2 linked regions of the Struthio camelus genome follow. The protein of the gene in region 2 interacts with the protein of the main gene of each other region in a pairwise test. Links are inferred from orthologs where the notes say so. Each region holds a gene or a part of one and is shown on either strand. Other genes may lie near its edges.

Evidence for each region. The genes of interacting proteins can lie anywhere in the genome.
Region 1: the proteins of UROD (region 2) and LRATD2 interact in binary tests that used the Homo sapiens proteins (3 or more experiments, as listed by UniProt). The two-hybrid records come from large-scale screens. The link is inferred for Struthio camelus from reciprocal best matches to the Homo sapiens genes UROD and LRATD2.

Annotation. Positions count from the first base shown.
Region 1 is NC_090943.1:161,576,790-161,584,460, reverse strand, and holds the start of LRATD2 (protein LRATD2), read left to right. Parts: upstream 1-4,667; 5' UTR 4,668-4,689; intron 4,690-5,258; exon of another isoform or gene 5,259-5,884; intron 5,885-6,000; exon of another isoform or gene 6,001-6,077; intron 6,078-6,441; 5' UTR 6,442-6,446; coding exon 6,447-7,343; 3' UTR 7,344-7,671.
Region 2 is NC_090949.1:27,115,790-27,122,882, reverse strand, and holds the start of UROD (uroporphyrinogen decarboxylase), read right to left. Parts: upstream 3,007-7,093; 5' UTR 2,981-3,006; coding exon 2,898-2,980; intron 2,159-2,897; exon of another isoform or gene 1,823-2,158; coding exon of another isoform or gene 1,758-1,822; intron 1,576-1,757; coding exon 1,463-1,575; intron 1,372-1,462; coding exon 1,292-1,371; intron 951-1,291; coding exon 888-950; intron 791-887; coding exon 593-790; intron 296-592; coding exon 134-295; intron 1-133. Other genes in the region: E3 ubiquitin-protein ligase HECTD3, read left to right, coding at 3,233-3,559, 4,099-4,259, 5,631-5,723, 6,046-6,181, 6,620-6,735, 7,032-7,093. UniProt on the Homo sapiens protein: Catalyzes the sequential decarboxylation of the four acetate side chains of uroporphyrinogen to form coproporphyrinogen and participates in the fifth step in the heme biosynthetic pathway.

The sequences.
Region 1 (7,671 bases), on a different chromosome or scaffold from region 2:
CATAGTTGCTATTTTCTGGGAGAAAGTACTGCATTTTAATTAAGCTATGCTCACTGCTCAAGTCAGTTTGATAGCAATTCCTAAGAATTTAGGCCTCTGCTGACATGCGAATTACTTCATTTTCATTTGCTGGAATGCACCAATTAAAATCGTACAGTGGAAAGTTTCCTTCAAGATATAGCTTGAATGCTTCAATCAAAAACTCTGTCGCTTTGGCAATCTCAGCAATTTATTTTGCCACAGATCACATTTAGTCACAAATTACTATGCTGGAAGTAGTTAACAGAGCCATAAGCTTCCAGCAAGAGCTTTAGAAAAAAAATGTGTTTGCTGATGTGATAAACATGGCAATTCAAATTTCCACTCTCTGTTCTCGAGTTGCAGATCTCTCTCTGATTTGCCACTCGCCTCACTTTCAGATCTTTCCTGTATGGTGGGGCAAACTGCACTATGTTGGACACCAAAGATCATATGTTTAGAAGATCATATGTCTCTCATTGCTTTTCACTGTTGACATCAAAGGTTATAGGTTAAATGCAGATAAAACATCTAGGTGTTAATTCAGGAGGTCACCTTCCTGACCTCAGAGGTTCATTATATTTCTCATGTTATGTCAAATATCATAACTGTCAAATATTTGAGATACCCAGATTCTCATTATATGTGTCGGCTTTTTGAGATACTTGAATTCTATAGTTATCTAAGTTCCCAGTATTTCTGCTGGGGACACAGGCAGAGTCAGCAGGCAGTAGCAGCGTGGAACAGCTCCGTGCTTATTTCATGCATGAGCCCCAATACAAGTCACAAACTAGGTATGTCCCTGCCTAGGTCAGTTGTGAGGCCGAGTCCAATAGAAGTATCAGAATGGCTCTAACCATGTTAGAATCAAGAGGAGCCAATAACTAGTAGCATCTGGGTTATACCAGGCATGCAGGATATGCGAGATCTAGAGGCTCAGTCACTTCCCTGTCTGAGGAGACATGAACATAACTCTCCCATGAGCATGTCCCAAAAGCAAAACTTTCAGATCTTTCTGGTGGGTGTCTCTGAGTGAATCCTGCTGAAGTTGGTGTGTGACATCTGAATATTCATTATAGAAGGACTTTAGAGCAATTTCATCCCCTTCCTGCTTCTGATCTAAGGAGCCATTGTCATTCTTTTTTTTTTTTTTTCTCATTGACTGAACAGATATTTTACGAGCCCATACAAAGCTGAACAGCTTCAGTGGGACAGACTGAGCACGACTCACTCAAAAATAGCCTACAGTCTGGTGGCTTTCAGTACTCTCCTGGGAGATACGGGTTCAAGTTCCTTCAGAGAGATGAGAGACTTCCACCTTGGTCTTTTATACCCCAAGGAAGCTATCTAAACTATTAAGGCTTTCGATGAACTAAGGCAGCGCCATTTCTTCTTGTGCGTGAGAAATGACCAAACTTTAAAGCACTTGACCTTGGGAGAATATTAGACTCCTTAACATGAGTGAAAGGAAGTATGATTTTCCAATAACTGTTAGAACTCTAACTATCCCTATCTGTACTACTCTCTACCAGCTAGCTTAGGCTACCAGCTTTGATGAATCTCATTTTAGGTGATATGCCCAGCTTTACAAGAACTTGGTGCCTGTCTCAGGGCTGAGGAGTCCACTGGAGGGCAAAGAGTTGACCAACAAGGTGTTACAATTCAGAATCTACCTCCCCTTTGTGGATTTAGCTCTAGCTCTCCAGAAAGCCATGGAAAGATCACCATCCACCAGGAGCTCCCAAGTCACACACCTGCCTCAGTTAAGCGCCTGATTAAGTTTCACAGAACTCAGTGGAAGAACTTTCACTAACCTCACTAGGAAGTGGTTTAATCCGCTAGTGCCCCTAATTTCACCATGGTGGTTAAGCATTCCAGGGTGATAGGGCTACGATGCAGTGTAGCACTTACATGCCAAATGGAGCATAATTTATCTCAGTTCTCATAAAACTCTACTGAAAAAAGAAATGGAAGTGATTAAATAATTCAAGGGTGTCATAACCATCAGCTGAGTGAATATCCGCAAAACACAACATGCTTACAGAACATGATACTAACTCAGAAGTCTGGTCTCTAAGATGAAAATATAAACATATAACAAGAAGAGCTATTTCTTCTCATAGTGAATATCTTTCAACAGCAATAACAATCAGAGTACAGCATTCCACATCCAAGTAATGGAAGAATTCTAATTTCAAATCAACATCATCTTTTTAATCTCTGGTTGTCAGATGTGTGTAGGTTAAAGATGAGATAGTAGTGAAGCAACAAAATAACTTAGGTGCCTAATTCTCAAAACTATAAAGCTTAACTCTGAAGCAACCCTTTAGCTCTACAAAAATCCCTGGATCATATCAGCTATACAGTGATACAGACTGTTAAATGTGCCTGCTCCATGGATGATCCATCATCTCTAAGCTAAGGAGTACACTACCCTCTATGGACTGTATGCATCAAAGGACTGTATAACCATGCAGCTTTGGGTTTTATGAGAGCCCTGCACCATGACAGGTCTTTTCAGCCCTGACATGAAAAGCACTATTTCAGGTGTGGGGAATTACGGGGAATCTAAATTTAAAGCATCTGCAATAACTTATGGGCCATGTTGCAACCCACTAGGATGTTATTTATATGACAAAATTGGAGGTATGCGTTGCTGCATACCTCGACAACAGCTTGAGAGTATACAGATGTGCTTACAGGTGCAAAGTCAGCTAGGAAAGTTTTGGGGAGCTGTGTAGAGCAGGAGGAGCCAGACCGCATGTAGCTTTACTCCTACTTCCTCGGAAGGATATGGATGGAGGAGTTTCCTGGAGTGAACCAGGCCCAAAACCACACCTGGGTTTTGTTTGAGAGGAGAGTGATTCACTCCAAAAGATAATCTAACTAATTCTTATGCAATCTGGATGACCAAGTGACTGAGACACAAGTGGGATACACAGATCACCCCCAGGCCCTAAGGGAATCACTGAGGGAAATACCTTATTTAACAATGTGGACATCCCCATTGACTTCACTAGGCACAGCTACAACTGTGTTGTCCACAGCCCTTCGTTCCCTCTGCGGCATGTGCACAGAGCTGAATATCTCAAAATGGAATTACAAAAGCCAGCATGCCGAATGAGGAGTAACTTCCGATAGCAAGGACAGAGGTGTGTCTTCAACTCTGCCCTACTCCAGTTTGGGCAGCACTGTGAAACGGTTCCTCCCTCCACTGCAGGTCCTCAGATCAGATTATCTCTGGCAGATAAGTACCAAAGTTCTTTTTTTCAAAAGCGGTGCAAGAGGTCAATGCTCTCTTTAAAAGTATGGTCACCAGGAGAGACTGCATTTCATTTTCACCCTCCACCCTCCATCCCTTGTGAAAGGCCTGCAGAGTTTAGCCGCTTCAAGGCTCAGAGGCTAAGCATGCAGAAATTTTAAGCATCTTAATTTTGGGCTCCAGCCCAAATAATATAGAAGCAATAAAAGCCTTTTGTGGATTTCCTCCCCAATACCTTATCTGCAGGTGCAGTATGCTGTTATGTGTGTGTTTTACGACACAAAAATATTTGCCTACGGTTTCTGATCCTAGAAAGCAGGAGATTGATCAGAGAATATGGGTTCTGAGGAGCAGTCATTGAAAGAAAACTCAAAGAGATCAAAGAGATCAAAGCAACTGACAAGGTGCAGAAAATTAAGCACTAGTGTGAGCTGAAGCAGACAGGAAGAAATGAGAGAACAAGATAGAAGAGCTGCAAGTAAGTGTGGACGTGCGCACGTGCATGAGCAACTCTTCTAGGGAACACTGAGCTTGTACTTCTGCACAAGCACAACTTTCCACACATTGTAGTAAATTCAAAAAGAAACTTGGCCTTTAACATAAGGCTGCTAAACCATTTTAGCCAAGAAATAAAATTGCTCAAAAGACAGTAAGGTACAGTCCAAGATACAGCTTTCGGTACAAATAGGAGAACACTTAAAAGTCACTTTTATGTTCAGGTCAGCTCCCCCTTTCAGCAGACTCTCAGCTCTACACTTGCCCATCCTTAATTACTGAAGCAATTTCACAAAGCTCTGATTATGAAGCAGGGCCCTCTTTTGTCCAACACCAGCTACATCAGCAAATAGTGCAGCACAAGAGAAGAGGAACTGCAGAGTGAAATAGGCAGTGGTGACAGTGTAATATTTACATTACACACATTTTGGAGGTTTACTAGACTAGCTCTAGTCTGATGCTGTGGCTGGAGTACATCTAGTTTAGTTTAATGTGAAAGAAATCCAGTTTGCATTGTTTGAAAATGATCTGGGATGCAAAATGAAAGTGTGTGTGTGTGGAGGGGGTCTGGAAATTCACTTCAAAAGCACACTCCTGATGAGAACTAAAATACTCATGTAGACAGAGCCAGTAGCTGAATTCAAAACAAACAAGTCTCAATCCAGCCGCCTGTCACCTCCTCTGGGGCTGAGCGCGTTTCCCTGCCCCACCATCCCGCGTAGAGCACAGCGCTCATCTCCCTGGAGCAGCAGCTCTTCTCCCCACCCCCAAAGGGCAGGTCTATATTTGAAATCACAGAGGCGTATAATCTGAGGGAAATGGTATTCTTCGAGTTCGTAGGCAGTGCCCAGCACCCTGGTAACACTCCGTTTGTTCCTTCACTTGCTGCTGCTTAGCGAATCCTCAAAACAGCGGTGAGCGCTTCGCTTTACAAATTACAAGGCTATAGACAAAGGGAATAAATGAGACAATTTAAAGGCATTACTCCTAGCTCCCATAAATTCTCTGTGCAAAGTCTATTTTAACAGCATGGATTTACCAGGGCATGTGGAAATAGTGAGAATAATAAACCTACCTAGTAGACTTAACTAGGCATTAATGAAAAAGCAGACTTTAGTGTTTTGCATTCCCCGAAACCCAGGAAGAAAAATATTCCCATCAGTTCTGATAATTCCTTTCTAGGGGGAAAGAATCATAACCTTCTATATTGAAAAAGAGAGCGATCGCTTGGAGTCGGGAAGAAAAGAAATTAATAAAACTAATTATATGCTTCGCTCACGATGGAATCTAAGACGCTAAGTCAGCCCAGGAGAGTCGGGCTCTTTGATTTTGTGGGCTTTTACAACTTCCCCGTTATTGCTTGCGGCCCCGAGGAGGCAACTCCCGGCGCCCCGGCGGGGGGCAGGGGGGCTCCGCGGAGAGGGGCTGCGGGCGGGCGCTTTCCCAGGGTGCCAGGCTTTGCATCGCCTCCCGGTGCTGTCCCGGGCAAACTCCGGCTCCCAGTTACCGGCAGGTCGGGCTGCTTTGTGGCACCGTTCCCTTAAAGGAGCAGCGGCTCGGCAGCACCCCCGTGCGTGTGCGTGTGCGTGTGTGTGCGAGTGTGTGTGTACACACGCTCCCGCAGCCAGGCGCCGCGGAGAGTCTTGCAGCCGTGGCGCCGAGAGCCCTCCCGGCCGACCTCCGCTTGCAAATCAACCTCGGAGGGGAGCAAAGCGCTTAGCATGTAGGAGAGAAGAAAGGGAAAAGGTGCGGGGAGGAGGAAAGGTGGAGTGGGGAGGGGGGAAGAAAAGAAAAATAGGTGGGGGGGGAGGAAAAAAAAAAGAGCTGCCTCTTTAAATACTGGGGGCTGAGCGCTCGCCGGGGCGTCCGCAACCGGATCCAGCCTCCCTCCCCTTGGCCGTGCCTCTCCGGCGCTTGTTGCACAGCCCCGAGTGCCGGCAGCGCGGCGCACGGGCGCTGCTGCTGCGCGCGGAGCGGAGCGGAGCGGAGCCGGGCCGGGGGGACCATGCGCACCATGCGCCAGCCGCGCTCCGCGCTCAGCCCCGGCAGCCGGGCCGCCGCCAGCTCGCCCTAGAGCCGCTCCCGGCGCCGCGCAGCCTTCCCCGCCGGGTAAGTTTGCAACCGCCCTGGTGCCGGGGCAGGAGGAGGAGGAGGAGGAGGGGAGGAAGGAAGGAGGCGCACCTGCCCGGCGGCCCGGCTGGGGAGAGCGCGCAACTCCGCCGCCACCCGCTTGGACCCTGAGACCCGGGCAGGAGAAGAGGGGGCTGCGGCCCCCCTGGCCCTCTGCGGCCCCCGCTGACGGGTTAGGCACGGTGCTTCCTCACTCCGCCGCCTGCTCCCGCACCTTCCTCCTTCTTCCTCCTCCCTGCCGGCTAACACTAACAGGTGGCCGTGCGGCCTTGCCTTCCTCCCCAGCACCCCTTCCCCCGGGTCGGTAGGAGGGTGAGGGTCTCCTTCCTCTCCTCTGCAGCCCCCTCGGGTCACTGCCTTGGGCTCTGACTGCCTTTTTGGCCCTGCCCATGGTACTCTTCCACCTGCTTGCCCCCCCCCCCCCCCAAAAGCTGTGCTGTGGCCAGCAGAGGTGGGGTGCTGGTTGGGTCCATGCCCTGCCATCCCTCTGCTGCCTCTCCTGCCTTCACGGACCCATTGTTTGCTTGTTGTTGCAGTGGGCATGGGGAACCAGGTGGAGAAGCTGACGCATCTGAACTACAAGGAAGTTCCCACGGCTGACCCGACAGGTATGGACAGAGATGAGGGGCCCAGGATCGGGGTGTCCTACATCTTCTCGAATGATGATGATGAGCTGGAGCAGCAACAGGATTCGGTGCATGATCTGGGAGGTGAGCACCCTGCCTTGCAGCCCTATGATCCCCAGCTGCATGAGGTGGAGTGCTCAGTCTATTACCGGGATGAGTGCATCTACCAGAAGAGCTTTTCTGAGGAGGATACGCTGCCAGAGGAGGGTGGTGAAGGAGGTGGGGGGCACCTGAGCACATATACACCGGAGAACCTGCTGAATAGGTGCAAACCGGGTGACTTGGTGGAGTTTGTGTGCCAGGCCCAGTATCCGCACTGGGTGGTCTACGTCGGGGATTTTCAAGTCGTGCACCTGCACAGGCTGGAGGTGGTGAACAGCTTCCTGACTGACGCAAGCCAGGGTAGACGGGGCCGCATTGCCAACTGGCTGTACCGTTACAAACCGCTGAGCCCGGCCACTGTGGTGCGCAACGCCCTGGAGCAGGTGGGCTGCAAGGACCGGGACTTGAGCTGGAGAAACTCGGAGTGTTTTGCTGCCTGGTGCCGGTATGGCAAGCGGGAGTTTAAAATCGGCGGGGAGCTGCGCATAGGCAAGCAGCCCTACCGATTGCAGATCCGGCTGGGTGACAAGCGCAGCCACACGCTGGAGTTTCAGAGCCTAGAGGATCTGATCATGGAGAAGAGGAGAAATGACCAGATTGGTAGGGCTGCTGTGATCCAGGAGCTCTCCAGCCACCTGCAGGCTGCAGAGGAGGAGGAAGAAGAGGAGGAGGAAGATCATCATCCAGGTGCTCAGACTGCTATGGAGTAGCAGCCTCAGCACCACCATGCTGCTTAGGCTGGGTGATGGGGATTAAAACTGAAGGCTGCGAAATTGAGCTGTTATAAACCCTTTGGGCTGCTTCAGTGCAGCTTCATTCCAATCACATGTGAAAGGAAGGGGGAAAGCTGATTAAGTGTCTGTGATTTAGTGCTTAACTCCTTCAGTGCTTGATGGAGCACTGACTTATTTGCAGAGGATAAAACTCAGGGCCATCCTACCCCTTCTCCACTCCCTCCTCTTTCCCTTCCTCTCTGCCGTCTAAGCGCATAGCCTTTCCCTCAACCATCTGCCAGTAGGCCTGACCCTACAAGATGCT
Region 2 (7,093 bases):
ATGCGGGGCTAGGAGAGTCATGGGTGCCACACACCCCAGTCCTTCTTCCCTCTCCTCCTCCTGGCTGCTAGACCCCCTCTGCTCGTTGTCCTTAGTCTCTGCCCTCCTGCCCAGACTTGGCCCTGGGACACACCTGCGCTCCAGCAGCCACCTGCCCCACCAGGTAGTCAGTGATGACGTCAGCGAGCAGCCGCAGCAGTCGGTGGCTCGCATCAGGGTGACGATAGAGCCAGCTCTTGGCCTTGGCCATCGTAGAGGAGCCGCCACCTTCAATCATGTAGGACATGAGCGTCCACTGCGGGAAAGAGAGAAGGTGGCGAAGAGGGAGATGGAAGGTGTGAGGGACCAGTCACGGGATCAGTGCTGAAGGCAGGACCTGTGAATGCCCCAGAGCCTGGGGATCAGCTTCTCCCACATCAAACACCCCCCTGCCTTACACAGGATGAACTACACTACTGACACCAGTAGTGTAGTTCCGGTGACACAGGTCCTTGCAGCTCTGCGGGTGCTGGGGATGGCATTACCCCAGAAGAAGGAGCAGGGAAGACCACGCCCGGCTGGAAATCCCACCTCATGGAGCCCCATCACTTACAGGTGCCCCAGAGAAGCCGATAAGGGGCACCTTGCCCTCCAGGCTGTGCCGCGTCAGTGTGATGGCCTGGAAGACATAACCCAGCTCCGCGGTCACATCCACCTTCTGCCGCAGTTTCAGCAGATCCTCCACCTCCTTCAGGGGCTCTGGGAAGGTGGGTCCTTTGCCAGGTGTCATGACAACTTCCATGCCTAGTGCCTGGGGATGGGGGAGAGAGGAGGAGGCAGGAATGGGGCAGCCCTGGATCCAGGCCCCTTCCCAGCCGCTGCTTCCCGCGGCCAGCCACGGCACTCACCTGGGGCACCACCAGGATATCGGAGAAGATAATAGCAGCATCCAAGGGGAATCGTCTGAGTGGCTGCAGATGGCAGAGAGGAAGAAGCAATGTAAGTGAGGGGCCCAGAATCCCTCCTCACAGAGGGCTCAGGCATGCACATAGCCACCCCAGGCAATAGGGTCCCTGAGGCGAGGCAGGGATCTGCCTGGTTAAAGGTGGTTGTACAGCCCATACTGCCCTGTCCCATCCCAATGGGTTGCTTGGTGGCTATCAAAGGCCCCTTGAGCTAGGCTTTCAGCGACACAACCTCCTGGGAGATGTGGCCACCCAGAGTAAGAGGCAGACCTAAGGGACAAGGAGAAACCCTGTCCCAGACTGGGAGAAGAGAGGGGACGCACAGGCCTCCCCAAGGTGCTGCTCACCTGCAGCGTCAGCTCACAGCACACCTTGGGACTCTGGCAGGTGGCGAAGAAATCCTGCGCAGCCCGGGTCTCCCGAAACTCTGCAAGAGACAGGCACGAGTGTGACAGGGCACGCGTGGGGAAGTGCCAGCTCTGCCTCACTGCCCAACTGGCACCCGTTCGTCTACTCACCAGGCAGGTAGCGCCCTGCCTGCCGCATGCACCACACTGGCGTGTACTCTGTCTCCTCACCACGGGCTGCTCGCAGAAATGTGTCATTCTTCAGCTTGGGGAAGCCCTTGGGGCTACAGCCAGGAAGGAGCAGAGATAGGCTGTTACTAGAGAGAAAAGGGGCCCGGGTGCCACTTACCCCTGGAGCAGAGGGAGACCACGCAGGCAGGACGGGCTGGGAGGGTGATGCCTTGCATGGGGCCAGTAACATGCTGCCCGGCCTCTTGCAACAGCATCACCAGCACCGGCTTCTTGCCTCAGTTTCCCAGCAGGACAAGGGGCTATGAGAGACTCCTTGGTGCTGCCAGGGCTGAAGGGCATCTCGGAGAAGGGAGACCAGTGCTTTCCCCTGCTCACGGCCAGGCAGGCCGGGGGAAGAGCAGAGCCAGGCTGGTCCCCAGGCACCAGACCCCCGTGGCACTCGCTGGGCTGTGCAGGGCGCAGGGGCACGGCTCAACCACGGCTCCCGGCACTCCTCCTGAGGCAGCGCCACGCCGGGTGCCAGGACGGGGCTGGCAGCCTGTCCTCGCTGCCCAGCCGACCTGCAAATACTTCTCAGGGCCTCTTCCTGCTCTGGATCTGGCCCTACAGGGCCCGAGGACAGGGCCAGCGCAGGGGGCCTCCCTGGGGACAGGCAGTGCCTTGCCCAGGGCCCTGCGAGATTAAGCTATCAGGGGCAGCAGTTGCTCCCGCTGGGAGAGATTCGGGGCGGCCGGAGCCCGGGCGGCCCCGCCGCGAGGTGTCCCCGAGCGCGCGGGGCGCTCCCCAGCCCCTATCTCGGCCGCGCAGGCCTGGGTGGGTGACGCGGGGCTGAGCCCCTGCGAGCCACGGCAAACTCAGTGCATGTGCTGCTCGGCAGCAGGCGAGTGCGCGCTTACCCGGTGGCCTCCGCTTCCTCAGACCCCCGCGCGCCCCCCGACCCCTTCGGGGTGGCCCGGCCGGGCTGGCAGCGCCGAGGGGGGATGGAGATGCCGGCCCCTCGGGGGTCCCCCAGCACAGGGCAGCCCCTGCCCCCCGTGGGGACAGGCCAGCGCTGTCCCACGGCGACAGGGCGTGAGGCCGCGCCACCAGTGTCCCCAGTGACCCCTCCCCGTGTGGGAGCAGCGTCCCCGGCACCCGATCAGCGCGGCACCAGCATCCCCAGGGCCGCGCCACTGTCCCCAAGGGAGGGCCCAGTGCCGCACCAGTGTGCCCAGTACGGGACTCCAGTACCGCACGGGTGTCAAACAGGTGTCCCCAGCGCTGGCCCCCGGTGTGGCGGTGCGGGCGCAGGGGAGGTGCTTGGACCCAGTCCCGGCCCCCCCCCCCGCCCCGCCGCACCGGAGGGGGCTGCGGCGCGGCACGGCGGAGGGGGGGGGGGCTCTGCCCACCGCCCAGCCGGGCCCCGGCTACTCACACCAGCCGCTCGCTGCCCTCCATCCTCCGGCGCCGCGCTCTCCGCTCCGTCCCGCCCCCGCCCCGCCCCGCGGGCGCCGCCATCTTGTCGCGGTCCCGCCCCTCCGTACACTGCGCGGGCGCCGCCATCTTGCCCCGCTCCCGGCCCTTCCGTACGCGGCCCCGCGGGCGCCGCCATCTTGCCCTGCCTCCGCCCCGCGGGCGCCGCCATCTTGCCCGGGCAGCGGGCGGGGTTTGCCGTAAACCCGCGAGTAGTGACCCCCCGGCTTCAGTGCTGGGCTCGGCCACCGCCGCCGCCAGCGGGGACCGGAGGCCGCGGGCCGGTGCGGGAGCGCGATGCGGGCGGGCGGGGAGGCGCCGCACCAGGTGCTGGGCCGGCTGCGGTTCCTGCTGCAGTGCAGCGAGTGCTTCCGCCGCGCCCGGGCGCTGCCCGCCGCGCTCTGCTACGTGCCGCGGGAGGTGCAGTACAAGATCTGCAAGGACCCCGCCGCCGCCGGCGCCGCCGCCGCCCGCAGCCTGCTCAGCGTCTGGGACAGCCCGGGGCCGGCGCGGGGCGGCAAGCGGGCGGCGCGGGCCACCATCGAGGTGCGGAAGGGCGGCTGCCTCCGCGCCACCGGCGAGGAGTACTGCAACGGCGCCGGGCTCTGGGTGAAGCTCAGCAAGGTAACGGCGCCGGGGCCGGGGCGGTGGGTGCCGGGCCCGGTGCCCGCCCGGGCCGCTGGAGGGCCGGGGGAGGCCGCTGTCCGCGGCTGGGCCCGGCTGGCAGCCCCCGGCCCCTTTCTGTCGCCGTCCGGTTCCCCCCAGCGGCTCCCCCCACCCGTCACCACACTGTCGCCGCCGTGTCGCCGGCTGCTCTCCGTCACCCTCGCCGGGGCAGGGCTGGGGCGCGCGGCTGAGGCGGGAGTGCGGGTGGTGTTTTGGGGTGGGGGGGGAAGGGGGTCAGCACACCCGTGACAGATCCGCTGTCCCTCGGAGTCCGTCCTCGCTGCGTCTTCCTGCCGCCGTGCGTGGCTCACTGGGCAGCGGGGTCCGTCGCAGCCGCTGCCGGCGGCCCGCCAGCCGGTGGGCCTCGCTGGTGGGCCTCGCCGCTGCTGGCCACGCTCCCTGGCGCGTCCCCAGGGCTGTCTTCTCCGCCCTGCTGCCACGCTTCCGAGTACGAGCCGGGGCCTGGGGGGCCTTACGGGACGTGTTTTCCTGTGCAGGAGCAGCTGGAGGAGTACAAGAGCGGCTGTGACCTGGAGGAAGGCTGGGTGCTGGTGTGCAAGCATGCAGAAGGAGGGGACCGGCTGGTCCCGGTGGAGTCCATGGAGAGGATCCAGAGGCAGCAGCAGCTGTTCGGGGTCGATTACAAACCCGTGATCAGGTACAGGGCCGTGGGTCTCACATCTTCTCTCCCCCACGGGTCATCATAAGTGACCATACAGTGCAGCTTCGACGGCCCACGTGCAGCACCTCACTGTGTCTGGGAAGGGTGCAGCATGCAGGATAGGGCAACATCCCACTGCAGACCTTGACTTGGAGCAGAAATCAGGATTTTGTTACCCACAGTGAGAAGCTGGAGACCTGCATGTTAAACCTGGTCCTCAGCTGTAGCGTTCAGGAGATTGCATATGGCAACGGTTTATGTTCTTGAGTGTGTTTGCACTGCTGTCTCACCTGAGGTCCCTGGCATGCAGACTAACCCTCCCGTCTCTCAGCATGTCCTGTATGTCAGCATGTGCTGGTCCCTGCACTGGGCATCTGCTCAAAGCAGGCCAACTCAGGCAGAGTTACCAGTAGGTAACTCTCCTTCTGAGAGCAACTGTGCTCTGAACTTTCCCCCGTGATCCATGTGTGAATGTTGCTTTTTCAGGTGTACTGTGGTATAGCCACAGTGATGGGAAAAGTGGGAGAAGTAGTCCTTGTTTAAAAAGATCAAAAATACCATTTGTGCTGGTGCCTCAGTGTGACCTCGCACTCTCCAGAGCGCTGGCCCTGATCGTTTGCTGGAGAGCACAAGAACAGCTGTGCTGTGTCAGGCCAAAGGTCTGTCTGACACAATATCCCCCAGTAGCAAAAAGACAGAAGATGCAGTAATTCTTCCCCTAAGTCACTTCTTCCACAGCCTCTAGCCATTCCTGGGTCAAGGACTCCCAGGGCCAGAGATGGTTTCTGCATGTTTAGTAACCCTCTAGTGGATTTTTCCTCCTCCATGAGCTTTTCCGATCTCTCCTTGAATCTATATGAATTTAGCACCTGCAACATCTCGTGGTAGGAATTTCCACAGATTAACCACATGTAGGATGTAGAACCATCTTCCTGAGTGCATTTATACTCCGAGCCTGCCCTCATTGTGTGACATCCCCTTCTCCTTATACCTAAAAGTGCAGTGAGGTTCTTATTGGTCCATGCCCTGCTGCCTGTGATTTTTGCCCCTCAGCACTATTTCTGCTCTGGACTGAAGAGTCGCAGCCCACTTGGCCATTTCCTATATGAATGTGAGACAGTAGGGAATCCAGATCTGGAGTTACCAGGTCTTGCTCGGTCACAGTGCTTTCCACCTGCATAGCTGGGCATGACCTGGAAGAAGTAGAGATGATCTGGAAGGAAAGGGTAGCTGACGAGGCTTGAGGTGATGAAAGATGCAGTGTAGTGGGGAATTAAACCCCCATCACCTCGTCCCAGCTGCTCCTTGACCTCTGGCCTCTCCTTTCTCTGGTTTTCTCTCACTCCTGCCTTCTTTGGGTTGTTTCAGGTGGGAGCAGGTGGTAGATCTGACATACTCCTTGCGCCTCGGAGCAAAACCCAAGCCCATGGAGCAGGATGAGGCTGCGGTAGAGAAGCTTCGGTACGAGCTAGTCCCCGGTGTGCGTGGGTTTCAGCTGTGGGTGGGAGAGAGCTGCTGTTTCTCCCCCACTGCTCAGACAGCCGTCTCCTGCAGACTGGGGCGGGGGGGAAGAAAGACAGGCAGCAGGAAATGGGGTGGGGGGGGTGGCTCTGCTCAGCACAAACAACCTTGTCCTAGATAAGCCTGCACAAATCACTAAACAGCATGAGACCAAAGCAAGCAGGGCACAGACTCGCCTTCCCTGACACATTATCCTAGCAGGGTTTAATGCAGCCTTGTTGTCCCTGGGTCTCCAGGCCCGTTAACCCTCTTGCCTTCATAGGTATGTGCCCCCAACGTGGACGTATGAATGCGATGAAGACCTGGTGCATTTCTTGTATGATCACATTGGGAAGGAGGATGAGAACTTGGGCAGCGTCAAGCAGTACGTGGACAGCATCGATGTCTCATCCTACACGGTGAGCAGCATGTGAGGAGCGGTGCAGGGCTGGGCCAGCCCTGCTGGGCTCTGGGGCTGAGGAGCGTGGATGGCGCTCTGTGCAGTGCGCTGCTCTGGTCTGTGTGTTGGACGACATGAGAGAGAAGGCCTAGGCTCAGAGAGGAGTGTCATGTGATGTGCTGTGTGGGAGTAGTGTGCGACCTGTGATCTGAGAAGCAAATGCTGATGGTAGCTGCTGAGCTGGTTTTAGGGAGTGCGCTTCTGCCCGGTGTGGTCCCAGAGCACTTTAGGGCAGCCCCAGTATCCTGTGCTCTCTATATGGGAACCTCTGTCTTCCCACAGTCCAGCAAATGGGGCTGGGCCAGCTGAACACCCCTCTTATACTGAGAGTAGCCTCTAATGGGCAAGTAAGTCCTGCCCCCATCTGATCTTTGATTCATTCACTGCCCTCTTCCAGGAGGACTTCAATGTGTCGTGTTTGACCGACAGCCACGCAGACACCTACTGGGAGAGCGACGGGTCCCAGGGCCAGCACTGGGTGCGGCTCAACATGAAGAAAGGCACCATTGTCAAGTGAGATGTCTTTCCCCTTGCATGTTGGCTCGTGGCTGGGATGGGCTGCGCAGCTGCCAATCTGTGTGCATGTCCATCGTGGCCCTGGTTTGCCCTGCCCTCCCTACTTCCCTGGCCCTTGTTCCGTGCTCTGGCTCTGGACTTGACAGGTTCTTAGCCAGCATCATCATAAGTAACTAGTGCTCCTAACACCAGTTGCATGTGCTCAATACAGATGTGGCCAGGCCACGAGTGGGGCGGTGGTGGGTGTTCAGATGCAGGGCTATCTCCACCTCATTTCGTGGTTCCTTTTGCAGGAAGCTCTTGCTGACAGTGGATACCACCGATGAGAACTTCATGCCCAAGCGGGTTGCTGTGT